4 linked regions of the Arabidopsis thaliana genome follow. The protein of the gene in region 3 interacts with the protein of the main gene of each other region in a pairwise test. Each region holds a gene or a part of one and is shown on either strand. Other genes may lie near its edges. The genes, in order: GATA19, PRE1, CIA2 and bZIP7.

Evidence for each region.
Region 1: the proteins of CIA2 (region 3) and GATA19 interact in a two-hybrid assay, tested with the Arabidopsis thaliana proteins (one large-scale study listed by BioGRID).
Region 2: the proteins of CIA2 (region 3) and PRE1 interact in a two-hybrid assay, tested with the Arabidopsis thaliana proteins (one large-scale study listed by BioGRID).
Region 4: the proteins of CIA2 (region 3) and bZIP7 interact in a two-hybrid assay, tested with the Arabidopsis thaliana proteins (one large-scale study listed by BioGRID).

The regions. Positions count from the first base shown.
Region 1 is NC_003075.7:17,266,329-17,273,865, forward strand, and holds GATA19 (GATA transcription factor 19), read right to left. Parts: upstream 3,672-7,537; 5' UTR 3,335-3,671; coding exon 3,047-3,334; intron 2,926-3,046; coding exon 2,578-2,925; 3' UTR 2,361-2,577; downstream 1-2,360. Other genes in the region: AT4G36610 (alpha/beta-Hydrolases superfamily protein), read right to left, coding at 296-946; EMB2754 (Vacuolar sorting protein 39), read right to left, coding at 5,760-5,960, 6,041-6,139, 6,231-6,686, 6,938-7,180, 7,265-7,486. UniProt on the Arabidopsis thaliana protein: Transcriptional regulator that specifically binds 5'-GATA-3' or 5'-GAT-3' motifs within gene promoters.
Region 2 is NC_003076.8:15,953,212-15,960,825, reverse strand, and holds PRE1 (basic helix-loop-helix (bHLH) DNA-binding family protein), read right to left. Parts: upstream 3,459-7,614; 5' UTR 3,138-3,458; coding exon 3,012-3,137; intron 2,676-3,011; coding exon 2,523-2,675; 3' UTR 2,267-2,522; downstream 1-2,266. UniProt on the Arabidopsis thaliana protein: Atypical and probable non DNA-binding bHLH transcription factor that integrates multiple signaling pathways to regulate cell elongation and plant development.
Region 3 is NC_003076.8:23,163,607-23,173,033, reverse strand, and holds CIA2 (chloroplast import apparatus 2), read right to left. Parts: upstream 5,261-9,427; 5' UTR 4,642-5,260; coding exon 3,538-4,641; coding exon of another isoform or gene 3,511-3,537; exon of another isoform or gene 2,911-3,510; coding exon 2,758-2,910; coding exon of another isoform or gene 2,740-2,757; exon of another isoform or gene 2,322-2,739; coding exon 2,271-2,321; 3' UTR 2,009-2,270; downstream 1-2,008. Other genes in the region: PSD2 (phosphatidylserine decarboxylase 2), read left to right, coding at 77-124, 240-386, 521-616, 703-777, 881-973, 1,060-1,146, 1,216-1,266, 1,381-1,503. UniProt on the Arabidopsis thaliana protein: Responsible for specific up-regulation of the translocon genes TOC33 and TOC75 in leaves. Involved in the general chloroplast protein import pathway regulation, including protein import and protein translation efficiencies.
Region 4 is NC_003075.7:17,719,317-17,727,203, reverse strand, and holds bZIP7 (basic leucine-zipper 7), read right to left. Parts: upstream 3,566-7,887; 5' UTR 3,405-3,565; coding exon 2,487-3,404; 3' UTR 2,167-2,486; downstream 1-2,166. Other genes in the region: GRF2 (growth-regulating factor 2), read left to right, coding at 1-15, 108-320, 625-976, 1,050-1,671; PSK6 (phytosulfokine 6 precursor), read left to right, coding at 7,886-7,887.

The sequences.
Region 1 (7,537 bases), on a different chromosome or scaffold from region 3:
ATTGGAATTTTAATTTTAAAGTTCCAATTCATTTTCAGTTGATCGAATAGAGGTAAGTATACTTCGCAAGTCCCACCTAACTCACACAATCACTCTTTCTTGGAAACGTGATCCATATGAATATGTCCTTGCGACAGTAAAATATACTAATAATGTGAATTTGTGGAAAAATAAAAAAAAAGAAAGAAAAACTAACATGCTTTCTTACTCCAAAATGTAATCATTTGCTACGGAATTGTTATTTTCACTAAAGGAAAAGAAAATAAATAAATTAACTTTGAGTAGTAATAATCACCTCGATGTAGTCTTTGAACAATCGTTTAGGGAACCACAAGGGTTTATGCACAGCAATGGTGAAGAGAGCCTTAAGTCCCGTAACAGAAGTCGGTAACAAGAGATCCGTGGAAGAACTAAACCCTAACCGGTTCAAGCTCGCCTCATTAATGGTATCGGTCATTGTGGGAATCGAACCAGACACAACGATTGCTCTAACCATGTCCGGGTAAGCTTCAGCGATCTTGAAAGCCACCATGCCCCCGTAGCTAAACCCTACGGGAACAAACTTATCCACGCCGAGGATACGAAGCCCCTTGACCAAACAGTCGGCTTGAAACGCCGGAGACCGGTCCGAGTTGTCGGTGTAGGATCCACCGAAAAAGAGGAGGTCCGGTATGTAGACCGAGTATTTCTTGGATAATGCACCGACTTGGAACTGCCACGTCACGATTCCTTCGCCAGCGAAACCATGGATTAACAAGACGACAGGCTTTTTAGGTTTATCGGGTTTCGTTGGTTTTCCGGTACCGGAATTCTTCTTTAGGGTTTCCTTAGGGACCCAAAAGTTGATCTTCGTCCCTGGTTCGATCTCTAAAGTGTAAGGAACGACGCCAGCCATTTTCATCAGACCGTACAACAATGGTTTTTGTACCTCAACAAAGTTCACCATTGTGCAAGTTTTGTTTTGTTGTTGTTGTTGAGAGATGTTTGAAGAGAAGCCCAAATGGGATGCAACATTATATAAACATTTTTTCCATTCGATCTTTTCAAATGTAACTTGGAGAATTGGCACTTGGATTTGGAATTTGTTAAAATGTTAGGTGTTGGGTTGTTAATCTATGCTTTTCTGTTTTTTTTTTAATTAGCCTCTTAACCAGTACAAGAACACAACAATTCTAGAAACTAAAAGTGTCATAGTACAGTCAAATCCCTTCAAAATTCCATTTATGATATTAAATAGACCGAAATCACTAGATTACCACCATTTGATAGTTGCTTTGGTAATTTTTTTTGTTTGTTTGTCATTATGCATGATTTTGAGAAAATGACTTAATTAGCTTTTCAATGAATGATGACAAGATAGCGTTTGTTGGATCTAATTACAGTTGGGGAGATACCCGGTGGATGACCTAAACATCCTACTTAAATCCGTATGTTACAGTTTCTTCTTGCGTAGCGGATAAGTAATGTATATTTGTATGATGTATATGTAGGTCTTGGTAAAATAGAGTTTTATAGGTATAGAATCTGGCGGTGGTCTATATTCCAATTTTTAAAAAATCGTTTCAATTTGGAATTTCATTTGACTTTGAATGGAATTTATATCGAATGGGCTTAGGCCCAAATAAAATCGCAACTTATATGCTCATTCCCGGTCAGGAGCGGTTGAAAGTGGAAAGTAGAAATTCTGAAGACATTTAATTTTATTCGTGAAAAAATAGAAAAACATTTCATTATTATTCTAATTGGAAGACAAATTTAGTAGTTTAGTGACTCTTTTTTCGTCTTGACTCTCATAAATGACTCAAAAAAAAATTGTTACTCTCGCTTTCTGTTGTTATAGAGTTTCAAAACACTTTATTATCTTGGATTGTGTTTCCGGAAACAATCAAATAAAAACTAACGTTTTTTTAATACAATAACTAAACACGTTATGAAAAAGATAAATATTCTTCACATGCAGTTGGCAGCAACAGTTTTAAGCAGAGCAGCACACGAAGACCTAATTGATGGTCAAATTTCCAAGACAATTTGGGCAAAACACGACAAACATTCAGCTTGGCCACCCTGCAGATATTTGTTGGCTTAATTTTCAAATTCGGTCCAAGTATTTGATTATTTCAATTTGGAAAAGAAACTCACAAATTAAACGTTTAAGATATAAGTATTTGTGAAGATAGTATCTGCATCCCAAAATATTCACATTCTCCGTACAAAAACCCAAAGATGCTTTAAAAAGAAATTAAAGGAATGAATATGTATTCTGTATATGTATAGTATATCACTGAATCGTGGTCAAAGTAGGACACACATCATGTAAAGGTTATAAAGTCACGAATTATTAGTTCATTACCCGAGAGAACATTTTAAAAGTCATGCAAGGAAAACACAAGTAGCATCCATCATACGAATTATAAATTTAAGAAAAACACTTACACAGAGACCAAAAAAAGACATTAAATATTTATATTTAAAGGAAAGTAAAATAAAGAATTTAACGAAGGCTAAGACTTTTCTTTTTTGTTAAAAGGTATCCAAGGCTAAGACTTATAAGGGGAATATCTATGAAATGATCACTCATCACATCGTAAAATCGTGGACAAGGCCGGTCCGGTCGGCGACGTTAAGCCTCCAAGACAAGAACGGGTCGGTTGTGACGTCATGATCAACAACTCTGACATCATCAACGTATGAGTATTCGTTATTGGCCGGCGAGTAATATGGAACTCTCTGCGTATTATGCTGATGGTGCCAAGGCGACGATGAAGCATATTGGTTATTATTGTTATAATAATAATTTGCACTTGCTTGATGATCCAAAGTTGGAACTCCAGCTGCAGTTGATCCTCCGCCGGAGGTCGAGTTTCTGGCGGTCGATGCACGTCTCTCTTCTTTCTTGAATCGGATTCCACACGCATTACACAACGACTGACCAAATTAAAAATCATATAAAGTTATTATCAATATTTGTTTTGTTGTACAGAGAGAAATATTAGTCCCACATCAAGAAATGATAAAATATTTGATGTAAAGGTTACATATTAAATACCTTGGGACCTCTTGGACCGTTTCTCCAAAGAGGAGTAGAAGTGGTGTCGCAGTTGGCGCAACGGCGAGCGAGGAGGTTATGTCCGCCGCCTCCACCGCCTTTCTTGGAACCGTTCAAGAAGTCCCAGCCTATGGTGTCGGAGGTATGAGACGAGAATCTACGTTCATCATCCTCGTTGCAGAGGCGAGTGGAGGGAGTTCCAAGTGAGAGAGTGCAGTCAACAGAAGCATATGGAGAGGAATGATGGCTGACGTCGTTTTCGGGGGAGAAGAACATTGAGAAACCCATCACTATATATGAACTTGGAAACCCTAGAAAGTTGATATTAAAATATATAGAGAGAAGGAGAAAGAGAAGTGTGTGTTGTGTGTGGTGTTTATGAGATGAATAAGTTCTCTAAGGAAACGGTGAAAGAAGAGTCAGCCAAAACAAAGAAAGAGTCCACGTTGCTGTTGTGAAATGGAGACAAGAAGTATTTATAGAGAATTTGGGAACTTGGCAAAAGAGGAAAATTTGGTCCCGGTCTTATTATGTGTGTATGATTAATCTATGCTTTATTCTTTTGTTCTTTAGATTTACATGTGAATTTGCTCCTTTAGTTTGTCTACAAAGATGTTGCAATGAATATTCTAAATATGTGTTGGTTTTTGTTCAGTTCTAAGCGATTTTTAATAACAAAACGTTTTAACCTAACAAAATTAATTAATGATACTGCTCCGAATCTAGATTATTATGCAAATTCATTGCATACCGTATAATATTCCACGACCAAGTACCAAGTGAGTAGTCTTGTTTAACAATGCTAAGCAAACTACAGTGTTTTGATATATTATTTAAATGGTAAAGTAAGAAAATAAATGATAAGTACATCTGCAGTTAAAGCAGCAGAGAGGAAGGTAGTCAAAAAAGAGGCACGTGACTGGCAATGTCACGGTCTTCCAAGGATCTGGTCTCTCTCTGATCACGATCATCTCGAAATTAAACGCTCCTTCTCTTTCCGAATCTCTTCTTCCACACGTCATCGCTCGCTTCACCAATTCGACGTGTCATACTCTCATATATGCATGAATCCATTTTATGTTCTAAATTCAAATAGTGTGCGACACTGTTAATGTTCACCGCACTACAATTTCAGTGGCTCTCTAACGACAGTCGTAATAATACAAATAAAATGTTGTATATGACGTATAATTATGTTGTTTTTAACCTTAATCAAAAAATTTGTTTTGTATGTGATTGAATATTGTTGTTACGATTGTGGTCAAGCATGAGAGATCGTAATCGCCAAGATCGGTGCTTTTAAGGAGTTAAAAGAACAAAACTAGCCAATGTTCAAGTTATAAGTGAACTAAAAAGGAATAAAGACAAAGTGAGATACTTTGCAATGATTTTAAAGCAATTACATTGTGTTCTTTCTTTAGCTTGGTGAGAGTTATTCTATGTTTCTATTGATTTAGTCAAAGAAGCAAACTCCAACCAAAATTTAAAATTTAAAAGAAAAAGGGTACAAAGAGAATGAACCCATCAAATGAGTACACTCTGTAGCTCTAAGCTCTTATTTCTTTATCCTTTATCTTCTTTCTCTTTTTATCTAATTTTGGATCAAATAACGAAGTTACGTTATCTCCAAGAACAGATCTATGTTTTTTTTGCTTTCAAAGTAAGGTTTTGTATCAAATAATTTTAAATTTGATCGGCCGACCCATTTTTGGATCAATTATCGTAATGGGGTACGTCAAAATGTGTAACGTTTTTATACTAATTTTATAAGCTCTCAACTAAAAAAAAAAATATTAAGAATAAATAAATTGTACGTTTTATGTTTATATATACTATTATTTGAGTTTCATTATCTTATTTACCAACATTCATTTCATTTTATTACAAACATGAAATATCAACTGTGTTTTCTATAAACCTCACTCGTTCAACAAAAGGAAAACAATCAAATTGATGAGTTTTAAGAATATCAATTCAATAATCTTGTTGGAGGATGTCGTGTGCCGCCAAACACGAGTGGACAAAATGCGTGAAACGGGAAAGAGTAAAAAAGATTAAAAGAACACCAAGAGACCCAGAGAGAGAGGGAACAAAGAGAATCGGATCGGTCTTGAGATTGGTTAATTTTTGGTTCAATTGAGATACGGCGACCACCGCTTTCCCAAAAGATGCCTCTCTGTCTCTTATGCTCTTTGCTTCGTAGAACACGAAACCTAACCCTAACGATTACCCCAAGACGCAAAGTGTTCGACTTCGTAATTTCACATTACATGTCATGTCTCTTCACTCACGTGACTTCTAATCTTATTATAATCTAACTGAGCTGTTGAAGCCTGATAACGCCTAATCCAGCCCACGTTTCTTGGCCCATCATATCACCTTCATTTGGTTGAATGTTGTTAGATTTCGCACTAACATTCGTTATTTTCTTCGACAAGTCCCAATTACACAAAAATGAAAAGTCTTTATATAAACTAACAGATTTTACAACAAGAGCCAAACTGGTTTTGTCAAGAGTCAAGACCATCATTTTGAACCAAACACAAAAAACCACAGAAGAAAACACCAAAAAAGTAGCTCCAAATCTCTCTCTATAAACAGACAAACAACACGAAAGGAGCTTTTTCTTTAATTGCACTTTGGGAGTTTTGTAAAAAAGAAAAGATGGTTTAGTGTCTTAAACCTCTCTTTGTTACAGTAATTGATGATTACCTCATCGTCTTCTTCCATGTGTTGTCTTAGAAACAGCTTTCATGCCTTGAGAATCTCTGAAGCATACAAAGTGAACTAACGTTTTCCCGTTGGGATAAACAGCAAATACGCTTGTCCCTATCTTCTTGTTGCACAATGAGCACATGCTTTCGCTTGTTACTTGCGCTACTCCTTTCCTATGTTTGTATAGTTCCTCTTTCACCTATTCGTTTCACATCATCAATTTCACATACGGGTTTCTTTTAATGCTAGGTGTCAATAGTTCCAGAAACACAAACATACCTGTAAGTTTTCACTCTGCCTCAAACTCTTGATGACTGAAAAGTTTCTGTGAGCTTCACTTGAATTTCTTAGAAGGGGTGCAAGAAACGGAAGCAGGTTCTGTAGGAATTGGATAATAGAATAGGTGAGCTTCAATAAAATGCTAGTAAGTAGTTATGGGATAAGTATAAGTCAGATTCAAAACATTTACATGGAGTTTAGTTTCTCTAGGCAAAAGCTTGAGGGCTTGTGCACCGTTGATCCTCTCCCACCTTTGGCTCAACAGATCAAGAACTTCAGAGATCATAACGGTGGAGTCTCCTTCTTCCAAGGGTTCTTCAGTATCAACATCGCTTCTTCCACTGTCAGTGCTGCTACTGAGACCAACTCGCATATCCTCAGCGCCTTCTATTGCAACAATTTTCTTGGATCGGCCTCCTTTAGCTTTTGAAGATAAAACAGAGTCCATCATTTTTGTGGTGTCTGAACTTTCGAATGATCCTAGAGCTACAATTCGTTTTGCAAAGTCTTTTGCGCTTTTCTTAGGATTCAGGTATATTTGCAGCACTGTGAGGTAGATATTGCTTGACGGTTTTCCAGATGGTAGATAAGTAACAGACTCATATATACGATCACAGTAAGCCAGCGCCAGATCAGGTGCATGAAGCTATCAGAAAGAAAAAAACAAAGAGTTAAGCCATAAGCAACAACACTCCATAGAATCCACCGATATCTGAGTTCTAAATAGTTTCAGAGTATACTTATCTACACAATGATACAATTATCTAACAATGCATTTGCATATCAAAGTGTTTTTTACCACAACTGGCCAACAATTAGAAGATTATTTGGTGAAATAAATTAATGATATTTGGTTCATGTTAAAGATCGACAAAGCAAGCTCATGTTGATGGGTACCTTATGAACATAGATGGACAAAGCAAGCTCATGTTGGTTCATTTTGCCCAATATAACTGCACGCTCTTCATAGAGAGCATCACGTGGAAGACGCTTCAACAAAGGCTGCGGACTATATCCGGAGATGCTCTCTAACGCAGACAATAGTTTTTTCCTTTCAGGAGGATGATCCTTCTCATCCCATTTCTGCTGCGCACTCTTTGCAGCATACAAGTCAAGCACTTCTGAAAGATAGATTTGTACCTGTAACATCATCCAAATTGTTACTGCCAGCAATATGTAACGTAAACTCACTGAAAATGCTTCCCATAAGTGTGGTTTCCTCACCATCTCGTTTTGGAGATTTCCAGAAACTGCGGTGTCATTCATTGCCATCATAAGTTCTAAATATCTACCCTGCATATTTGGAGCATGCTGCTTCAGATACGAATTGACAAGGTCAGCTGAGATATTTCCAGACAAAAACAAGTCGATGGTTTGAGTTGGACAGCTTTCCAGGACAAGCATAGAATACTCCAAGACAAGCATTGGATCAGTCCTGCAGAGAGGCTGCAGAGAGAAATCCACCAACAGAAAGTTAGCATCTCACAGCTGTTTCTT
Region 2 (7,614 bases), 7.2 Mb from region 3:
GGTTAAAAACAGAGACTTTTATAGATACTCGGAGAACGACGAAAGTCTTATTACATATGTAAGTGTAATAATCATCCAAAGCATTTTCGTCTTTTTTTTATATTTTTTATTGTGATTGATATAAACGCTTAAAGCTTTGTTTATGATGAATAGATATGGAGGAATTGGAAGGAAGGTAAAGGGCTCGAAATCATAGATCAAATTATCCTTGATTCATCAACATTTCAACAACACCAAGTTAAAAGATACATACAGATTGGTCTCTTGTGTGTTCAAGAATGTGCTGAGGATAGGCCCACGATGCTATCAATCTCTGTCATGTTCGCAAGCGACACAATAGAGATCGCTCCGCCTGGACCGCCTGGTTATTTAGTCCGTAAAAGTCAACTTGAGACTGGTTCCTCCTCGTCACGAAAGAAGCGAAACGAAGAATCTTGGACTGTGGCAGAAGTAACCTATTCGGCCATTGGACCTCGGTAGTCCAACGACGTGTTTCGCAAGGAACTTTATTTATGGGAGAAAGATTCTAAAAGTTGTTTCCCCGTGTAGGAAGTATCTTGGAAATTGATTAAAAAAAAAAAAACATAACAGAGTACTGTAATTTGTATTTTATATTGTTTTAGCCTGTTTTACTATAAAGAAAACATAACTTAATGACGTTTACACTAACTTAGCTAAAACCTCCATAACCAAAGCTTCACTCTCTAAGCTTCTTGAGTCTTTGGTTGAAATAATCAACAAATCTCCACCTCGACAAACGGTTACATCTAATATTCATTTACCTGCTTCTGATGTCATTACACAACTTTGTCCTTACACAATATGTCAGTAGGATTGACCAGAGAGTACCAATCTTGGTCATATCCCTTATGAAGTGTAGCTCAACTTCTATATGTTCCCGTTTCATATTTTTAGACAAACATATATAGCTCTTGGACTGTCACAGTTCACTTCATATTTTGATTGCAAAGAACCAATTATTATAGCAATCTTTTTATCCAAATTGTTTCCTTGATGCTCTCTGTAAGAGTCATATTCATATATATACTCTGCTTTTGTGGTGGATAAGGACAACGTGTTGCAAGCATCATCTCCAATTTTCAAGATACAAAAGATTGCTGTTAAAACAGAGAAATAGAAAACAGAGTGTTTGATAAGTTTGTGTGAAACTTGTGTCGCTGTGGAGTTTGGGGAGAGATCACCTTGGAAAGACTTCTCCAAGAAGAATTCATACATGATTAAAGGGAAGTAAAATGAGTTTACTTGTTAACCTTAGTTCATGTTCTTAGATACAGATGTATTTGAATTTACTGTAGAAATTCTAAGTATATCTTTTACTTCTTGAAGTGATCTAATAAACTTTTGTTGCAGCCGAGGACTAGTGGTTGGTTTGAAAGAGAACCAACCGATACCTTGTTAAATATTGTGTCGTTTCGTTATTGCTCTATTGTTTAAATCGTTTCCGCTATTTAATTATTCTATTTAGTATATCTCAAAATTTTACAATAATAATTCAAAAAGGGTACAAGACCTGAAAATTGTATCTATGTAACAAGAAAAAAAAATTAAGATCGTTTTAGGTGGAAGAGTGTAACAAAGCTAGTCTCTGAATGCTCTCCTTTTTCATGTAATTCTTCTTGTGATTATTTTTATAGCTATATGGCTTAAAATTAGGAGTCGGATTTGACCAGTCTCCTAAACCCTGAAAGGACCAAACCGGTATAGCTATATGGCTTAAAATTAGGAGTGATAGATTTGACCAGTCTCCTACGCCTTGAAAGGACCAAACTTGTCTAAATGTATGTACATGGGTGCATGTATATCAATATGCGTATACGTGTGTTTAAACTTTAAACTACATGCATGTAGAATTATGAGATATCAAATAAAACTATAACGTTGATTTTTATTTAATTTCTTTGTGTGGACGTCCTAAAAGGCAAAACTTTCCTTTAGATGTGTATAAACGTTTTTGTGACAGTTAAGATGGGGTTTCTTTTCCCCTCCAAAATGGCTAAGAGTTTATTTGATTTTGTCTTCTATTTCTATTTTTGCTTTTTATCTCTATTTTGAGGTTTAGATGATTTGTTACCTCAAAAACAATGTGCCAAATAACTTTTTTTATTCCGTATAAAATTAAATGCTCGCAACTAACAATGTCCTCTCGCAATTTTACTGTCCTTGACTGACACAATCGAGTTCAGACATCACAATCTCTGTTTTTTTTTTCTTTGTTAGGGAGAAAAAAAGAAAGATTCTTCTCCACCAAATTTCATCCCACTGGTTTATTTTAATAATGCACCTGCTAAGGCAATGCTCGTGCAGTTCTGCTACACACATATATGTCGGAGACTTTTGACTATGGAATTAACCCTATGAAATTCGTATGTCATTAAAGATCAAGCCCATCTCTTTGAATTTTACATAATAAGACGATTATGTTAAAAATATAATTATTATAGAGCGATCATTTAAGATTACATGGATAGGCTTGTCAAAAACAAACAAAAGAACAAAAAAGATTACATGAGTAGGCTTCTAATAACGGCGGCTTCAGGGCTATCTTCATCGACAGATTCGAGAAGCTGAGACAAACGCTCGCTCAGATTGTCAACTTCTCTGTTCAAATTTCGTATGTAATTGCATGTCTCTTGCAATACTTTCGAGGCTGATGCCTTCAACAACAAAAACGAAATAAAATCATAATCATTATAATATATGTTTTTTGAACCAATGCATGCGCTTTTATGCGTTTGCAGATGCATGCAAGCTGATGATTTTGATGTAATCTCTTATGTAAATATGGAAGAAAAAGGTTGTGAATATTGGTATATATGTTCCTTAATGTCCGGAGTCAAAAGTTCCGACTTCTTTTTTCTTTCTTGTTTGATTTTAGTGTCCACTCTTCTTTTTACAAAACTTTTGTTCTTTCCTTTTTTGGATAGGTTTACACGATGGATAATGTTAAATGGTCGTTATAAATGAATATATGCATATATTATGCGTGATACCTTATCAGAACGACGTCGTTGACCAATCTCCGGCAAAATTTGACGGAGCTTAGATACGAGGTCAATCATTTGATTATCGGAGATCCTTGGAGCACTTGAAGATTGCCTTGATCTTCTGTTCGACATGTTCAACAATGTGGCAAGAAAAGACCCTAACTAAGTTGTGGATTCTTCTCTCTTTCTTTACTTCTCTCACACTAGCTCAAACAAGTTCTATTGAGAAATAGAAATAGAGATATAATGAGATCGGCTATGTCTATGTGGCAAGTAGGTGTAAGCTTTTATGATTTTATAAGGTTTTTATGCTGAAAGGAAACGACCAAGAAGAAAGAAAAACTAGAGAGCAAGAAGAAAATAGAGAAGAGAATGAGAAAAGTGTTTTGGGGTTTTGAATACACTTCAAATATAAAGAAATTGAGAATGTGATAAGAGAGATTTAAATAGGCCAATGGACCACAAGAGAGAGAGAGCGACGGAGAGCAGCAATAAACCTCGACAATGATGTCACGGGAGAAGAAAGCGATAGATTGAATGCCCTTAAACCACAAAACTTCGAAATCATTTTTTATTACAGATTTCCAAGCCGTATATATACATATCATCAGTCGAGACTATTACCAATCATTATACGAAGGTAATGGCGGGATTGAATTATTTCACAACGTTTTCAATCATGGTTAGTTAGTTATTGTGTATAGTTCAAATGATACACAAGTTTCAAGATTCGTAACTTTTTAGGATTTTGTGGAAAATAAGTCTTGAAATCGTCCATTTCTACTTTCAGAAAATATAGAATAATTTTACAAAGTGAAAAATACTACGCAATATAACATTTTTTGCTATTGTCAGATTTCGTCAAGTTTTAAAAAAATTGAGAAGTATTATATCAAATCGAAGCCCTCGAGACAAAGAGTTCAACTCTTCTTTAATTTAGATTTTTTAAAATGTATGTGATCGTGAATACGTTTACAATATATGTATAAGGAATATATTGCGTATTATTTTTGTTTTTTTATGATTATTCTGCATATTTTAGAAGTAGAGGGTAAAATTACAAAAATAGATTTCTCTTAGGATTTGTTTTACCAAAACCCCAACTTTTTATGCCTCAACTATCCAAAAAAAAAGAAAATGATTATGACTAGAATGGATCACAAATATACATATGCTTAGTTATTGAAAATTTTACAGTATAATTCCTATAGAGTGGATAAATAAATGGGTACTAAATTTTTTGAATAATTGGAGGAGATTTGAATAGTTAAATGGAGGAAACGAAAAGTTCCCAAAGATGGGGTTGATGAAGGTCAAGATAAGTGTTTCATGTTCATCTAACATTGTGGCCCTTCATCTGCAATTTCACAAAAAGGCAACTACCATGTGATGACATGACTTTTCATTCAATTTTTTTTCTTCTAATATTAGAACTAGTATTATCGCCTAAATTGTCTCTCTAAATTTGTATTCCACAATATCTAGGTACAGTTTGTATATTTATCTGTAAATCTTGTATATTACCAAACTATATATTTTAAACTTGTATAAAATATATAGTTCCAAACTTGTATAAAAAAGCATAGAGAGAATTATGTAAATTCTATCTTCCATACTAACTACATTTGTTTTAGAAAGGAAGAAGCCTAATTATTGACTCCTATGGAACATTGTTTTCTAACTGCTAAGCCATAAATAGTTTCACCTCATATGTAAAATATTTCGTGTGATAACTTTTAAAAAATTATAGAATGTCAATGTAACTTAAAAATAGTAGATATAAAACAAATATTTTCTATAAAAGGATTATTGTTGATTTTGCCGTTTTCATCAAAATCTTTTGAAAAAGTCATTTTTACTAAAATTTTACGAAATTGTCATTTTAGTACTTATAAATGTACGTATTTACGATATTATTTTTACAAAAATAAGTATTTTATATTAAATGCTAAACTTAAAAAACAAAAAAAAAACTCGACTAAACCTTAATATAACGAATAAAAGCTATGCTAAATTTCATTTTTTAGACTGAAAAAGAGCAAAATCCACAAATTATTTAAAAAATGACAAAATCCATAAATATCATTCAAAAAATGGTAAATCCATAATTAATTCTTTTATAAAACGTGAAAAGGAAACCAAATGCTTAAAAGAAACGTATCTATCGGCTTTAAAACTTCGTTCAGACCATTTATTTCAAACTTCTTCGCACACTTACACTTTGCCTAAAATAATTTATTTAAAGAATTTTTTTATTTTGAAGTGAATAAAATCGCATGTCTCATATAACTTAATTTAATTGTTCGATTGGTCCATTATTGGTTGAGTATTAATTTATATAAATGTTCACAAAACATCGACTATGTCACGTGTCACCACCATGTCTCGTGTTACATGCTGCCCTCGGGTCCATAAGATCAAAATTTTAGATATCTTGTTGTCCAATAACATTATCAATAAAGATCCGACAAGTATGTAACAGTCGAATACAATTATCTGTTTGAACATATTATTATTATTATGAAAGGTTATATAAATTTCGAAATCCCTCATTATCCCTCAAAATATTTCGTTTGTGTGGTGTATTAATTTATCACAACATTCTATTTCATTAGTAATTCAATAACAGTTTAATATATTCTCACCAACAAGAAAATATAAGTGAGAATGGTTCTCTTCCGACAGGTTTGCATGACATGGATCGGATTATATTCATAGTTAACGAAATCAATGTTACGTTACGTTACTTATTAAAAGTACTTTTTGCTCAATATATACTAAATATATAAGAAAATTATTTTCTCCATCGTTGTGCTTGTTATATAGCCAAACATTTCATTACTCTAACCGATATCATCCGACATGAAATTCACACTTATAATTCAAGAGAATGACAACAGTATAGTAAGTACACCATATATATGTCAATGATCTATCCACCACAAAAATTCAACGAGAACATTAATTCATACAATTTTTTAATAAAGCACATAATTAAAGAAAACATTTATCAATTTTTCTTATATGTGTGAATACAAGAATATATATAAAAGTGTGTTGGTGTGTGTGTGTGTGTTTTATATATACAAGATTATTAAAGAAAGTGACCATTCTAATAAATTGCAAAGGGAGATTTTACATGTTAGTCCATGTGGGTTCGGGTACTAAATGTTTGGTCTCATAGGCTCCACAATGTTTTTGTGTCTACTTTTTCGCAATTAATTCACATCTTTACAAACATGTTGTAAAAAACACGAGTAATCATGTGGAAATGAAGGACTCGTTAAATAAGTAATTTATAAAAACTCACTTTGGAAAAGTTGAGCAATTTTTTTTTTTTCCAATGAATTACAAAAACACTATAGTACGATAATATGCATTAATGGCACCAATCATATCTTCGCAGTGAATAAAATAACAATTAAAAAAAAACATTGAAAAAGTCGTCAAAACGGCATCTTCGATTCTATGTTCAAAGATTTGAATTATTCAATTATATTTATAAATATTTGATCAGGTCGAAATATACAACACACATAAGATGTCCAACAATTATATTTATAACTGCGAAATGTTTCTCTGGATTTAGCATGAGTATTCGAATTACGCTGGAAATGTCGAACAAATTCCACGGATAACATGTCCCTTGATAAGAATTGTTTCGCCATCATATATTCACATAATCACATCACAAACAAAGCATCGACAGATTGTGTAGTGTGTGTGCACACACGTAAAACGGTAGACTTTTGCCGTGTTACTACAATGGCAATTAAGAAGATACTGATACATCTATGTAATTCTATCTATTTACAGTAAGTATCATTAAGAAAGTACATTAAATTTAATTCCATATTTTCTAAATTCAAATTGAAGACTCTAGGTAAATAGGGATTCTTGTCTAAAATGCCGTTTAAAAAAAAAATCTAACAATAATATTTTGAATAGTTTACGAATTCTGCCATTTTTTAACACTTAAGTGTACATATTACGAATTGTTTTTGCAAAAATATGTCTTTTATATAAATTAAAATGATTAAATCCAAACGAGTAAAACGCATCTTAAATCACATTTTTGTTGTCTTAAAATATACAAAATCTACAAACTATTCAAAAAATGGCAAAACCAACAATTAAGTTAAATTAAATACTTTACAATTAAGTTAAGGATCATTTTTACGGAGTGACTCCAATTTATTAAAAGAAAATACTTCAATGGTAATAAAGTTTTTTTATTTTGATATATTTATCTAGTTAAGAAAAAAATCATTTTTACTGAGTGACTCTAATTTATTAAAAGAAAAGACTTCAATAGTAAATAAATTTTTTACTTTGGTATATTTATCTAGTTAAAAAAAGGAATTTAAATGATATATCTACACGAAGATCTGGATTTTTCACTCGTATATTTTTCAATAGTAGGTATCAACTCTTAATAATAAGGAATACGTAACACATTATGGTCCAGGTATAGACCAATATATATTTCATGGTCCCCTTTAACCATTTTTCTCTCATAATTATTACACAATCATGCTTTGCATAGGCTTCTCCAAAACAATGAGCCTCATGCTCATCAACAGCAAAAAAGCTTTACTATCTAACTAAA
Region 3 (9,427 bases):
TAAAGTTACTATTAACTAAGCTATGATGTTTTGCTTTGCTGTTGGGTTTGGAGTTGAGATGTTTTGTCTGTTTCAGGATCAAATAAACATGGCTGAAGTCAAGTATCCTCTGCAGCATTTTAAGGTATGCATGGGATCTGTTTTATAGCGTCAACATTAAATCTAAATGTGTATAGTACTAAGTTTCACAATATGATTTATAGCATTTTCAAGAATGATGATTTTGTTTTTACTTGCAGACGTTCAATGAGTTCTTTATCCGAGAGTTGAAACCTGGTGCAAGACCAATTGCTTGCATGAACCGCAATGATGTTGCTGTATGTGCCGCTGATTGTCGATTAATGGCATTTCAGTCGGTGGAAGATAGTACCAGATTCTGGATCAAGGTAAAATGGTTTCTAGAGTAGCTTACTATATACTTAATCAATATTATTCAAGATTAGAGAATTCTCAAAACAAATGATGTAGCTGATATAATGCAACACATCCTTATTTTTTTGCATTGATTCTGCAATGATAGGGCAAAAAGTTTTCAATAAGAGGCCTCCTTGGGAAGAATGTGAATCCAAATGCCTTCCTTGATGGATCTTTGGTTATATTCAGACTAGCACCACAGGTGCGACGAGACTGGATTTCTCCTATTGAATTACACAGTTGTTGTTTGTTCTTTAGTTACTCTGACATATTTCTTGGATGTTACAGGATTATCATCGGTTTCATGTCCCTGTCTCTGGAGTCATTGAACAGTTTGTGGATGTTTCTGGAAGCTTATATACAGTATGTAGTTATGCATCTCCTCTGCATTTACTTTAGTCCAAGATTTCCTCTCATCTCCCTCATGTTTTCTCATGAGACTCACTTTTGTTTCCTTGTTGAATAGGTTAATCCAATTGCGGTCAATAGCAAGTACTGTAATGTATTCACGGAAAATAAACGAACCGTTGCAATTATATCAACAGCAGAATTTGGAAAGGTTAGATGCTGAATCCAGTTTACAAATGGATCAGAATAATAGTGTGTACTGTATAAATTCAAGGTTAGCTAATAAGTATGTAACAGGTTGCTTTTGTTGCAATCGGTGCAACAATGGTTGGTAGCATAAATTTTGTTAGAAAGGAAGGAGAGCATGTGAAGAAAGGAGATGAAGTAAGCAGTTTCAACTTTTCATAAGAAACACTTCAAGAGAATATTTCCTAACTTCAATTTATCTTGCAGCTTGGTTATTTTTCGTTTGGTGGAAGCACAGTTATATGTGTCTTTGAAAAGGTTAGTGACTTATTATATCTTAATCTTAAAATCTTAAGAACAGTTTTATGCTTTTAAAATGATATCTTCACTGTTGTTTTCTTTCAATATGAACCTTCCATTTGAATTATGCAGGACGCGATCGGGATCGATAATGATCTCTTGGTTAACAGTGGTAGGTCTTTAGAGACATTAGTGAGTGTTGGAATGCAATTAGGTGTCTCCACAAGGACATTTGCTAGGTCTACATTGATCTGAAAATCTTTGCCACTGAACTGATTACCAGAGACCAATTTGGTTTGATTTGATTTTCCTCTTGTTTCGTGCATAATAACTCTGTATATAAACCAAACGATATCTCTTGTATCATGTATACAAGTAATGAGCTCAACACATTCCTTGTGCAGAGAGTTCTGTTTTTGCCATTCCGTCAAGCCTTGTAAAATAACACTCGATTCTTGGTCAAAGATAAAATGGTATCTAGAAGAAGCTACCATTCAAAAATCATATAACACGTCCTAGAAGCTATTTTTGCCCTTAATTCAATATGCTTTTTCTCTATAATGTTTTTATTGGGAAAGGAAATTTGGCTCGGCAAAAACAGATATTGAGAGGTATCAATGATTTGTCACCGGTTTTGATGACTCAAAGAAGCAATGGGCAACGAAACAACAGGTGTACAAGGCTGCAACATAGTTTGAGCCATTGGGATTGGTGAATAATCCATGTCTTGTTTTTTGCTACTGTTGTTGTTGAGCCAAGTCTCTGACTTGCTTCTTGAGTCATTAAAATCTCAAGAGCTCTGTTTCTTCTATTAATAACAAAAACTTTTATTAGTTTTGATCCCTCACTTTCTCAATCAAATCTCCCCCTCATCAAAAAATCTAAATTATAAACCAAAAGGGACCATAACTTAAAAGAAACAAAAAAGGAGGGTGCCAAAATTTTAGAAACAAAAATAAAACAAGGAATAAACAAAAGATAAAAAAAAAAAGATAAGATAAATCTAGGCTCTTTTATCCTTGTTATCTTTGTCCACTTGGAGTGCTCTCATTGGGCCTTCTCACGAATCGTCCCTGTTCCCACATCCCATCACCAACCACAAAAAGAAAAGAAAACATTAATATTAGGTTCTTGTCTTAATCAAATCTAATGTATATATCCCTAGCCCTTGACCTCAATCTAACGTTATTAGTTAGTTTTGTTTCCTTTAGATGACAATTCTTAATATATTTAACCTTTGGTTTGGTTTTAAATCTTTTTGTTTGGCTTGTGGTACGTAGTTTCCTTTACTTGTTCGGTTTGGTTCATTTGGAATAAAGATACCCAAAAGAAAGCTTATTTCATCTTCTTGAAGAAAAAAAACGAATAGAAAAACTCAACAAGAGTTTTCTCATCTACTTTAAATCTGAAAACTAAAGCTAGTCTTATTATGCTGATTCAAAACAAATTTTGAAGGATGGTAAAAAAAACCTACATGTTTTTAACCACTGACTAAGATGGGTTAGATACCTTCATTCGAGGACGTTGATCAGCATTGAGTTTGCGAACTTGGTATCGAATTTTCTTCGAAAAAAGACGAGTTCGACGTTTCTCTTTGTACCTCAAAACACTTGCTTCTCGCATTCCACTGTCTCCGAACAAATCAATCTGAGCTAATCTAGCCTGCCCCAAAACACACACGCCACATTAGTTCATGTTCAACATTATTAATAACACAAAATACTAATCAATTGACAAAAATGAATTTCTAGTTAACTTATTTTGTAGACTACTAGACTTTATGCTAAAAGGAGTATTCGACGAAACGGATATCTACAAAATAAATTTTGAACCTCCTCATTTATCCTATACGTGAAAATTCACGTGCACAGTCTATAAAGTTTTCATTGGACAAATAAAAAGCAGCTTTTTTTTTTCTTAATTGATTGAAAGTCATCACAGAAAAAAATGTTATTTATAATAAAAAGAAGACTATGTACCAAAGTCAAAGGGTTAATAATTATTCTTCAAAATACGTTACAGGAAAAATTATTAATAAGAACTTTCCACAAAATTTAATAAATTCTTGTCAGATACTTCAAACTATATCATAGCTAATAAATTACTAATTCAGCATTAATGAGAACACACTCCTCAACAGCCACGTGGCAGAATACTAATGGCCAAAACAGAATCCCGAATAATTAATTATTTCAAACTAACCATTAACTAAAGAAAAATAAACATAGAAAATATCGAATTTTAACGGCGAGGGATTTGAGATTAAGAAGAGATTAGTGTTAAACATACATTGACATCGACAGCTTCCGATCCCTGAATCTCGTCGGGAAACGGCGACGTTTTATCAGACCAAGCTTCCAAAACGCCGTCGTAATCAAGCTTCAACAACGGACCTGTTCTCTTCAAACTCGTCTCCTCCGTATCTTCCAAGCTTTTCGATTCCGTAATCAATGTCGTCGTCACCGTCATTTTCTTCTTCTTCTTCTTCTTATTACTCTTCTCTCCAGAGATTACCACCTTCTTACCGTCGGATTTCTCCTCATCAACGGTGGAGATTGCAGTTTCGGTTTTGACAGTTTGAATTCGCGGCGAGATCTGTTCGAAATCAACGGTATGAATCTTCCACAATTTTGTGTCGTCGTTTTCTCTGAGAGCACTTCGTAATCCAAGCCCTAACGGGAAATTGAATCCGTTAGAGCTTCGATTCCATGAATTGATCATCATCATCTGTTCTAGTTTACCAATCCGATTAGAAGAACTTCTTCCACCGCGATTGATCATTCCCGGAACCCTAGATTCATAAATCCCCGAATTTGAATTCGATTCCACCACAGTCCCCATTATACTATCGATTCCTTCTTCAATATCCTCATCGAGAATCGATTCAGCATCGAATTCGTCGGAGAAATCAAACTTTTCGATTTCACCACCGTAGCAATCTCCACCGGAGTTAACTTCCTTCTGGTCTGAGAAAAACTCTGTTTTCGTTTGAATCGTTGGATGAAACAGAAAATCAGGTTCTTCGATTGATTCATAAGGAAGAAGCAAATCAGAAGCGTCGTCGTTGTCACTAAGCAATGGCCCGTAGAAGTGAGAGTTTGATGAAGAGTGAGTTTTTTGCTTAGAGGACAAGTTTGAGGAGAAGATGTTGGGATAAGCAGTAGAGAGAAGAGTAGCTGCTTCGTTGTAAGTCTGGTTTGGTCTTTTGCGTTGTGTTCTTGGCTTTCTCGTTGAGATTGCGAGTGGTGAATTTGATGATTCGGAGATTGTTGATGATGGTGAAGTAGCTCTTGTTGTTGTTGTTGAGGATGATGGTGGTGGTGATTTCACTTTTTCTAACTCGAAACTATATGCTGCTGCTCCTCCTCCTCCGCTGCTTAAACACGCCGACATTTTTTTTGTCCGGTGAAATCGGAAAAGAAACAAGACCAAAACTTTGAAGATTGTAAGAACTTTTGTGAGTGAGAAGAGAGTGATGAAATTAAGATTTTTGCCTTTTGATTAAAGAATTGTGTTTAATTTTAAGATAATAATAAACCCTTAAAACCCACTGAAGAAACCTTTTTTTATTTGGTGAGAAAATACAAAATTGAAGGGGGAAAAAAAGATCAAAACTTTAGGGAAAGAGGAAGATTCTGCTAACAAATGTTCATCATTTGAAAGAAAGAGCTAAGAAAACCCATTTGGAATCTGAGATTTATGTGTATGAAAACCAAAAGAATTGGCCAACGAGTGAGGTTTTACAGAAAGAAGCTAATTGGTTTGTGAAGAGGGAGAGAGAGATTGGAGGAGAAAGAAGAGTCACGAGATATATAAGAGGAGAAAGATTAGGGTTTTAGTGAGAGCTTAGTAACAAACAAAGGAGAGTTTAGTAAATAAATAGTGAAGAGCGTTTTTTTTTTTTTTGGTTTAGGGGTAATTTTAACTTTGAGAAGAGAAGTTGTGGAGAAACAGAGAGAGTGGTGGGAAGAAGAAGACGAGAGAGAGAGAGAGAGAGTGAGCGAATGGTGAAGAAGGGACAAGATAGCTCGTAATCGGCAATTCTGGAATGAATGGGGTCCACCAGTGGATTTTTTCACTTTTTGTATTGATTTAAAATTACTTTGTAAAACGAGTTTTCTTATGGATAGAGATACTTCCACGACTAAAGATTTCTATTCCATTTCAGAAATAGCCATTCAAAAGGTTTATAAGGTAAATTTTGTTACTGAAAACTCTTGGCTAATCTACAATGACTGGTGTTTGAATCAAAGTAAATTTCTCTATTTATTTTTTTGTTATAATGTTAATTAAGAAAAAAAGCTTTAAACAATGTTTGAGAGTTATTGAGAAATGATTTGGAGATTGAAAACAAAATAATGAAAAATCAATTGTTAAACCTATAATAAAGCGATATGATTGTGGCAACGATCGGTCATAATACGATTGAATTAAATTTGTTATGTGTTGATTTAACAAATTTATTTGTTCATTAACATTTACTCAAAATATAAAATATTAATTTTGTGACGATTTGGTAATAATGTAATGTAGCGACGATCGTTCATTCTTAAAGTTAAATTTTTATGTATTACATTAATATAACGACAGTAAGTCATTAATTCAAATTGAGTAAATCTTTTATGTATTGATTTATTGATATTATCCACTTGTTACACAATAATTTTTACCCAAAAATTTAAGATATTATTTTGCATATCGATCTTGTGGTGAGTAAGTAATATAACAGCGATCAGTCATTAATTTGAAAGGGGGATAAATATTTTGAGTGTGATTTATCGAAATTACTCATGATTGAAAAATATTAATCACATCATCGATTAAGTGGTAAGTAATGATGTAGCGCCGATCAATTGTCTAATCCAGCCTGTGGCAGTATTATATTAGTTGAGGTTGAGGATTTTTCTTCTTAGTTGATACCAAAAATCGAGTTCTACCATTCACAATATTTAATTTCAGCTCTTTAAACTAGTATAGAGTTAAACAAATTTATCCACTATTAGTTTTAGTTTCAATTTAGAGTCACCATATATTAGTTTAATTTTTGTTTCTATTAATTGCAGGTCCGGCTCTACACATGTGCCGGAGGAGCGAGGCACAGAGTCAACCCAAAATTTCTCTTTTTTTTGAAGTAAATCTAATACAATTACGATCCAAAAAAAAGATTTACATAACAAAACATAGGAAATGAGAACTAATTTTTTTTTCAGCTCTGGGTCCTTTATTATTTTGAGCCGACCCTGATTAATTGTAGCTAGAAGTGAAGCCATATATTGGTTTATATTTTAGTTTATGATATCTAGATTTTAAATAGAATTCGAAGTTATATTTTTTTACAGGTTTTGTAGAAGATTTTATTTAAAATTTGATATATATTTTTGATAATAGTAATAGTTTTAATAAGATTTCTCAGTTTTAATTTATTGATTTGGTTGTGATATCCGATTTCTGTTCTTCTTGAATAAAGTTTAACCAAGAAAAGATGCTCAAGAGTTTAATCCAGGTTGTTTAGTGAGTAATAGTCATTAATGATCCTTTTTGACTGGAGGGAAATGTGATTCTGTTTTTGGATTATTTTCTAAAAAGATGTAAAAACCACATCATCATCATCCAAATCTGCAAAATCTTTTTGGGATCTTAAAGAGAAAACGAGGAAAGGTCACCTTATCCATTGACGTGGCACATACCCATTGGCTCTACTAGATTTCTTTGATGACGTGGTGCTTTCTCAATTAACTGATTATGGTCGCCTGGTCGGAGACGTTTTCACGTGTTCTTAAAAAACCGACTTTATTATTTTACTAATTTCCCTTTATTAGTAAGATTTTTTTTTTTTTTCAAATTTACTAATTTAGCATATTTGGGAAAAAAATATTAGCATAAATTGATACTTTCTTATCTATATTTTAGATAATTTTTTGGATATATATATAGACATGATAATTGAAAATTTATTTCTTTCATTGACTTACTTTTTCAAGGTTAGTTTTATGTTAAACTTTCAAACGTTTCTGCAAAAGAAACATTAGAAAAGTAACGGCCGTAATATAATATCTATAGCTAATTGGCTATATTAGTAGAAGCAAGCTTACAAAATTGTCGTATTTACAATATAGTTATTAAATAATAATTAATTTAGTTTAAAAACAAAAGTGTGGAAAGAGAAAAGTGGTGGGCTAGTGGATTTGTGTATGTGAGAGAGAAAAAATGATTGGAACCTTTTTGGGATCATTTGAAGTAATTTGTGGCGAAAGCTAAACCTACGTTTACCTCATTAGGTTCAATGACTCCTGGTTAGATATCTGATTTTCTATTTAGATATGTTTGTTTATTTTATGTTAGATATTCCATTATATGAGATATGATACCCACGAGTCATCCGTCTATATCAAAATTGAAATTGTATTAAAACATTGTGATTACATATACTTAAAACGAAATAAACCCAAATAAATTAAATTAAAAAGGAACTTGCAAGAAAAGTCGGTAGACAAAAAAAAATCTTCGTAGAACTTTGAAATGTAGAGAATTTTTCTTATCTAAAGAAGTTGTGCTGGAGGGAATTTGAACCTCAAGAAAAAACAGGATAAACCTTGTTATGGCACTGCTCCAAAGTAAGTTTTGTTCTTATGTTATTCTTATGTCAACATGTGACCTCTCTTCCATTTCTTTACTAATTCTTTACCATTTTCCCGTAAAAGTTTTGTTGGATAAAAGTACATTAATAATTTCAATCGTTGCAGCATGTGTGATTGATGTACTTTATACCCGGATACTGCTACGTCAAGGACATTAAGGAGAGATAAAACTAAATAGATAAAACTCTGTGACTAAAGAGATAAAAATATGTGACTACAGAGATAAAACTATGTGGCTCCCCTGTTGTGAGTCGTATTTTGAGTATTTATTTATGTGGATTTTAAAAGGATTATGGATTAGATAACATGACTAACACGAAGAATGAAAAAAGTGACATTTATTTGTTTATATATAGTAGAAGAAGAAATTGTTGAAATAAAAGAAAAAATGATTTTGAAGAATATCTCAGCTGTCGTTTTCAGTGTTTATAATTCACAGCTTGATGACCTTTATACGTAATTAGAAAGAATGCGGCTATGTTAAAACTTAAAACCCTCGAATACCATAATTCTGACTGTCCTATAAAATTCAAAAATATTTCATTTGTACAATCAGACATTGTAGACAACTTGTTTACAATTATCTTACCATGTAGTTATTTCGGCCACATCTAATGGGTCTTACCATTTTTTGTTCTTATACTATAAGTTAACATAAACCACACGAGAATATATATCATAGATGATACACAAAAATGAAATACATGTTGTAGGCAGCAAAAAGAAAAACAACTCTACAGAAAACATATCTCATCTTATAAAACCCTATTTAACCATTCATTTGGATATTGAAAAACCAAGTAAAATGAAAACACTTATAGCTAAGAAAAAAATCTACATGAGACTAGGCAGATCTGAAAATGTGAACTTATAGATTTTTATCAAATGGGTCATGGCTCAAGAGTAAGTAACCCAAATAGTTACAAACAACAAGTGAACTATTTCTTCTCTTACAGATTGGAGGGGACCATTAAAACTATCTATGTCTTGCTCTATATTTCAAATTCTAATTTTTTTTTTATTATCAGCATGGGTAATAATGCAATAGCACAACTCTTTCATAGATTGCCTTCCATGCTTATGATAAACTGTTGATATCCAAAGAAGGAAAACAAACAAATAAGACAAGTAACTAACTAGATAAATATAGACAATTCAAAAGATAAATGTTAGATTGATAGATTGAGAGTAAGAAAAAAAAAAAAACATACTTCGAGTATGTACGGACAAATCTATAATACACTTTATTGTGACTTAATGTCTTATGTTTCAATAAATGAAATATGAAATAAAGATACTATGATACAAATCATTATATACACATACAATTTTGAGGTCAGGAGTCAGGATTCATAAATAACAAAAAAATAAAAAAAATGAAAAACACAGTTTTAGTAATATTGGTAGTATTTAGAAAATGGGATTTAGCTAGTGTGGGCTTACATATTGTGATTGCTTATACAACAATTGTCTTTAAGCCGATTTTGATTGTTCGAGTATAAGTGATGCTAATACTAATTCAAGCCAATTGTCATTAGAAA
Region 4 (7,887 bases), on a different chromosome or scaffold from region 3:
ACTTTAGAAGCTCAGGTTTGATAATGTCTTCTCTTTATTGATTGGATTTTGGTGAAATGGGTTGTGTAAAATAATCAAATTTTTTACATTTTTGCTGTGGAATGCAGGAGGATATGGTTCTGGTGGAATGATGATGAACATGAGCATGCAAGGGAACTTCACAGGTGTTAAAGGACCTTTTACATTGACTCAATGGGCTGAGTTAGAGCAACAGGCGTTGATCTATAAGTACATCACAGCCAATGTCCCTGTTCCTTCTAGTTTGCTCATCTCTATCAAGAAGTCTTTTTATCCTTACGGATCTTTGCCTCCTAGTTCCTGTAAGCTCCATCTCTTTAACACAATTTCTAGTTGCACATAACTTTCCATTGAGCGATCACTTGTTTGTGAAAGTTTTGGGGTTTTGATCAACTCATTTGTGGTGTGGTTGCTTAATCCAAGAATCAGATTTTATCTAGTCTTTTATGTCATTTTGGTGCTAAATCCTTCATAACATTGCTCATAGGGTTTTCAAGATTTGTCTTGTTGGTTGAAAAGTCTTTACAACAATGGTTGCTTTTAGGATTTTTCATAGGGAATTTTGTTATAAATGGTTAATGAGTGTTTATGTTCGGTTTTGTGTAGTCGGATGGGGAACTTTCCATCTCGGTTTCGCAGGCGGTAACATGGACCCTGAGCCAGGGAGATGCCGCAGAACAGATGGGAAGAAATGGCGGTGCTCAAGAGACGCCGTTCCTGATCAGAAATACTGTGAAAGACACATCAACAGAGGCCGTCATCGTTCAAGAAAGCCTGTGGAAGTCCAATCTGGCCAAAACCAAACCGCCGCTGCTGCATCCAAAGCGGTTACTACACCACAACAGCCTGTTGTCGCTGGTAATACTAACAGAAGCAATGCCCGTGCATCAAGCAACCGCAGCCTCGCCATTGGAAGTCAATATATCAATCCTTCTACAGAATCTTTACCTAACAACAGGTGAAAACAGATTTTTAATACTCTGCATATTCATTGTTAGTTCATATCTCACTTACTGACTCTTGCAAAACAGAGGAGTTTCGATATATCCTTCCACCGTCAACTTACAACCCAAGGAATCTCCGGTTATTCATCAGAAACACAGAAACAACAACAACCCTTTTGAGTTTGGACACATATCCTCTGATTCGTTACTCAACCCGAATACCGCAAAGACCTATGGATCATCGTTCTTGGATTTCAGCAGCAACCAAGAGAAGCATTCAGGGAATCACAATCACAATTCTTGGCCTGAAGAGCTGACATCAGATTGGACACAGCTCTCAATGTCAATTCCAATAGCATCATCATCCCCTTCCTCCACACACAACAACAACAATGCTCAAGAAAAAACAACACTCTCGCCTCTCAGGCTATCCCGCGAGCTTGACCTATCGATCCAAACCGATGAAACAACAATCGAGCCTACTGTGAAAAAGGTGAATACTTGGATACCAATCTCATGGGGAAACTCCTTAGGAGGTCCTCTAGGTGAAGTACTAAACAGTACAACGAATAGTCCAACATTTGGATCTTCTCCTACAGGGGTTTTGCAAAAGTCCACATTTTGTTCACTCTCTAACAACAGCTCCGTGAGCAGCCCCATTGCAGAGAACAACAGACACAATGGCGATTACTTTCATTACACAACCTGAAAACTGAAACCAAGTCCTGCGGCAGGAAACAAAAAAAGAAAAGCTCTGTTTTTTCTCTTTCATTATGTTCTGTTTCGTCTTTCTAAAGCTTAAAGAGGAAATTAGAAAATCGTTGTTCTTCTGATTCTTTCTTCGTTTCCGATTTCTGAATCATTTGTTTGATAATCACTTCATATAATCACAATCTTTATTCTAATTGTTCAGTTACAAACTAGGGTTTATCTTTGCTCTTTCATCAAGGGAAAACTTTTAGGGTCGTAACAAAAATGGACTTGAGGACCTAAATTATTGTTGGGCTTTATGTTCCAAAACTTTATTTGGGCCGAGATAGGCATTTTAACGATTAAGATATATTATGTAGTGATATTACAGTATTTGGGATCGTGGCAACCGGTTTATTAGGCTTGGTTTAGTACTTTAAAATACAGTGTATCTTTTCAACAATTATGGGCGTTGTAGCATGATGTCAATGCGCATAAAGCCTTTCCAGTTTCCACTAAGTAATAATGTAAATCGTTGTATTAATTTAATAACTCTTTAAGTTATTTATCTCATACACGAGAGTGGGAAAAAGAAAACCAAAATAAAAATCTGTTTTGTTTTCCTTCTTCTCTAGTGTAGTGGAGTCACAACATATAGAAAACGAGAAAGTGGAAAGGAAAATTAGAAAACTATCATTTTCTCTTCCTAACCTTCATTTCATTTACATAGAGAGATAGAGAGACATAGCGAGAGTTTCTTTTTTGCTTTGCTTTTTTTTTTTGGTTATTGTTCTAAGTTTTTCGATATTTTTTCTTCTTAAATATTTTGATCTATCATTGAAGATGAGGGTGGTTTTGTTCAGTCATGATCATTCTCCGGTTATGTAGTTCCCATTGTTGCTGTTGTTGAAGTTGTCTAATGATCAGAATCCGACGCATCTCCGACAATCTTAGCCGGAGTATCTCTTGTTCTGTCACGAGCCGGTTATTGTCGGAATTCACTCGTTGAAGCTGGTGTAAAACTAACCGGAGTCGGTTCCCGAGCTCACGGTTTTCTAAATCCAACCGGTTTACTTGCTCTCGTAAGTTATCAATGTGACTTTGTTTACGCATTCTTGACCGTTTCGCTGATTCCCGGTTTGACTCCATCCTCTTCCTCTTCCGCTCGTCGGTCATCTCCGGTTGGATCATTTTTTTCCGGTTATGGTTATTCTCTCCCGAACCGAAATTTGTGATGGCTGTCAATTGTTTTGTGTCGTCCGAGTCCGGTTCATCTGCTTGAGAGCACGGTAGATCGTTTGATATGTCGGCGTCGTCACAACGAGGATTAATTTTGACGAAACCGGCACAAGATTCGTCAGAACCGGTTTTCATGTCATGAGAACCGGAATTAATTTTGACGGAACCAGTGTCGGATTCACCATAACAAGGACTAGGGATGGCCGGTTCAAGAGACATTTGGTCCACGAAAAAGAGATCAGAGCAATCCCATTCCCAAGGAGTGAACCCGGTTTGGAAACCCGAGAATTGATTAACCAAACCCGGTTCGGAGAATGAAAAGGCCGGTGCAGTGGACAACATAATTGCTAATAATTTTTCTAATAGAGAGATGAGAGAAATTAGAAGGGGAAAAGGGAAGAATTGCATTGTTGGAGCTTGATATTTATGGACAAACCAAGGGGTAATTTGGTCATATTTCCAAAATACGATGTAAGACCGTAGACTATACTGTATAAACAGCTTTTGAGTCATGTTGCACTATGGTGGGGTTAAAAACTTGAAAATTTTTATTTGGCAGAGCCAACTTTTGTAAAAGCAGGAAATATTGTGTAGGGCACCAATAGCTTGTTTTGGGTCCATATAACAAAAATAAATTAACAAATTTGAAAATTATGTAACCAGTAATAGCTTAGTGATGAAGAAAACAGTCCATATTTCACACGTTTTAAGAAATTCAAGAATGAGATATTTCTTTACACTCCTAGAAAAAGTTTAACTTTTCATATTGGAATTGAATACTTCATATAGTTTTCTCTCATTCTTGTTAGAAGATTCAACAAAAAAAACAAAAAATTATCAATTCCATATTATCTTCAATAAACTTATCATTTTAGTTAGTGATTAGATAAAACAAAAATTGTATGTGAACATATGCTGGTTAATTATGATATTTACAGTCAGAATAGAGTAATTTGTGGTTCTTTATGTTCACTGTTTAATAATCTTTCTTAAAGAGAAAGACAATCTTTTTTTAAAGAGAATGGCAATCTTTCTTTATTTTAGTTTTGTCAATTTCTTTTAACACGGGATGGACACACACTGGAGAGGGACTAGAATCATCGTTTCAATCAGAGAATCTAAGGAACATACTTTTCAATTAACTGAACCAAACTGGTGCTTTGCATGAGAGATGAGACCAATGCTTTTTGTAAAGAACCCTATAAGTTAACCTATGACCAAAAAGTTAAGTATATATACTTGCTTGCTACACGGAAACATTGAATATTTCGATTGCAAGGATACATCAAATGTAGAGTATTTTTAGATTAGTTTCTTCATTAGAAATATAATGTGAAAAATTCAATAATTTAATTGTTAAATCTTGAATCAAAATATATTGTTTCGTAAATAATGTTTAAATATACAACAGAAAATTAATGGAAATATAGAAAATAAATTAATTTTTATCTTAATGTTGAATTGTTTTCTCTTTGGTTAAAATGCTGCATCAATCATAATTGATTGTATAAATATATATACGGCATTACATAGCTTTTTCGCTTAATAATTTACCAATCTAAGGAAAGATAATTAATAAGGATGAAAAATGCGCCTAGACTTCTAAATCACACAATCCCTAGTACAAAATTCTGATTAAAATTAAATTTAGTATACTATAATTATATTAATTTTTAGATACCTTTACTTAGCTTATTTATGATGAGAAACAAAAAATGTGGAGCAACGGCCACATGCATTTCATATAGAATAAAGTGGAGAGGACAAAGACTTATATATATTACATATACACGTCGCTTTATTATAGCCAGATTCATGTTTTGGTTCGGTCTCATGTGAACTCAACTTTAAATGTCCAGAAAAAAAAGCTCACATCTTAGCTTTTTATATACATTAAAAAAGGTCGAGTGGAGGGACCTATTACTATTGTTAACCACTGAAAAAGTCGTATCGCAGATCGGTCGATGAGCCAGGAGCTAAGCTTGTGCCCGGCTGGTGAACCAGCTTTCAACATGGCTTATAGCAAGTTACAACAAGGTTCTGTTGAGATAATCATATACAGTTTGATATATTAGCAAAATATTTTATAGTTTGATCCTAATTAGTACAAAGTTCTTAAAGCTCGATCTATATACGTATACGAACATTTCATGCTAAGTGGTCTATTTTAACATTTGTATTTCGAAATTTTTTAAAGTTTGATACAATGATTTTTCCCTAGTGGAGTTACAAAAATCTTTATCTTAAAAAGTTTTCACCTCATTATTGTATTAAAGGAGTTCAATACACATGTCATGGGAAATGAAAAAAGTTTATAAGACGGAAAGCCCACATTTACTTGTAAATTGATGTCACAACTTTAGTTCGAATATTCATTGAGCCTTAACACGTAAATAACTCAATAATTTAAAGATTTAATGTTCTATAATAGTCTTTTTTTCGTTTGTACTCACACGCATATTTATCATATTGGAATCCGGACAGCGAACAGGGTAGCAACATTCGTACATACAAACCACTAAATTAAAACCCGCATCAATTTTTTAGAACATTTTAGAATTACATTAATTCTTCCTTTACATATCTGAAGACATACGTACATAGAATCTTTATATAACTCAAGTAATAGTCATGCGAATCATGTAGAAGACATTATTCTTTACCCTTATGCTAATTAACGAACTTCCCTTTGCTTGAGGAAACATATACCAATTTTGATGCGTATAGGTATATATTATGGATCTTGTACTATTGATGATTCATACATACAATTAAACTTACGGAAAATCCAATAAATTTTGATTTTATACCTATATTTATAAATTTTACTATATAAACTCTGAAAAAAACAATTTTTTTTTTTAAAAAGATTTAATTCTTTAAAAAAAGTTAACCACAAAAACTATCATTGAAATGTAACGGAATTCCAGTAGATCATATCTGAACAAATATTCTTAAAAATTTGTTAAAACTTCAAATACTTATTTGTAAGATTATAGTCAACTTGGTGTGTATGCTTTTCTTATATTTATGCTAATTACTTAGCCTATGGCTAGTTTAGCCCCGTTTAGGTCATATTAAATTTAAAAATCTTAAACTAAAGTCGAGGAGGAAACTTTAATAAAAAGTTTGAAGAAATTCTAAATATGACGCATGTAAAGTTTTTTAATCACTATAAAAAGAATACAGGCCATATAACGACAAAATTTGTAAATTGGGAAAACCCTAAATGAGTCTATTATTTTTGTCATGGAAAAACTTAAACGTGTCGTTTCTTTGGCAATGGATGTCCACATGCAACACTCTTGCTATTTGAATTTTCTTTGAAAAAGTCTGTCGTTTCTATGAAAATGAGTTGCAAATATTTGATGTTATTGAGTACTGATTTAAAAAAAAAAAACTTTACGGATACAAATACTATAGAATGTTGTTTAAGATAATTTAGTCTCCAGGTAGTCGCATACTGGAGAAATCGTTAATACTTTTCTATATATATATATATATATATATAAAACTAATTTTTTATTAGTATATTAAATAGATATAAGTCTGACGATCAATAATTGATATTATTAAGTCATTAATAAGAGTATAAGACTAAGAACAATGGCGACTAAATGCTAACATTGCTCGGGTCCTCGACCTAAACTTTCGTGTCGATTAAGTTTTGGCCGTCGGATGTACTCAACAGATCCAGAAAATTAACTCTACGCTTCTACAGTTCAACAAATTAGCGATATATTTTTCCTAAATTACTTTTATATTTTTGTCGCCTTGCATCGTTCGTGTTAACACATATTTTTGTGTGTGTGGTGTATATATATATGAGTAAATGGATGTAAAGTAAGTAAGTAACGTTAGCAATCCACTAATTATGGCTTTTTAAATGTATCTTTTTGTAATCTATATGTTTGTGGTGGAGTGTTCGTTGAGATTTATCGTGTGGCGTCATTTGGTACGTCATTAGCCATTAGGGTTCTCCTTATAGCTCCAAATATATATGTATGCATCGTATATGTACATGCATATTAGAATATGGTCAAATGTTTACGTAAGGGTGGGTTTAGTTAACGAGTTTCGAACTTCTTTGCTTTGCAACTTTAAAAATCGATTGGTTTCTCGTGATATTAACATTATAGTGGTTGGGGCCTGCAACTATTGCGATAATTGTACTAATTAGTGACATCAAATTACTGATAACCAATTCATAAATTGTTTTTCTGCGTGTCGACCTACTAATTAAATCGGGTTAAAGTAATGTATGTTTCAACTTTCAAGTTTTTTATTTCCGACTGTACCACCATCATGCTTGAATTGCATTGGGCCAGTATATTGGTATATTTGGCCCAATATGAAAAAATCAACGGTTGACTTCACGTAAAAACAGGTCAACGTTTTTGATAGACTAATGCCAAACAAAAAAAGTTCTTTTATTATTCTTAGGGATTGGTTTTGGAAAAAAAAAAAAAAAGGGATTGGTTTTGGTCCAATTAACAATCTCCTTTACCCTTAACAGCACCAGTGGCAAATTATGGCAAAATAATAATAATCAGTAGTAGCAAAAAACATTCAGTCCATTTAACCTCCCTATAAATATACTTCTAGATGTTTCCAATATAAATCGAGGTAATGTGTGATGGTTAATCTTTAGAAACATATTGGTATAACCTAACTTTTATCAAATCCACTTTTCTTTATATATAATTTTAAAATACTATAAAATTTTGAATATTACACATTCATTTGTTTCCTTTTTGAAAACGAGTGAAAGAGATATACATCTTTCTTTCTTTCTTTTTTTAACTTTTACAACTACATTTTTAATAGATAAAAACATTAACAAATGAAAAAGATAAGAACAAAACACTCTAATTTTTTTCTTCTTAAAATAAGAACTAGATTAAGAAAAGAGTTGACCATGATTGACTATATATAAAGATGCTTTGGTCATTAGTTTTCAATATATCCATAATTAATTAATCTATAATCACAAAAT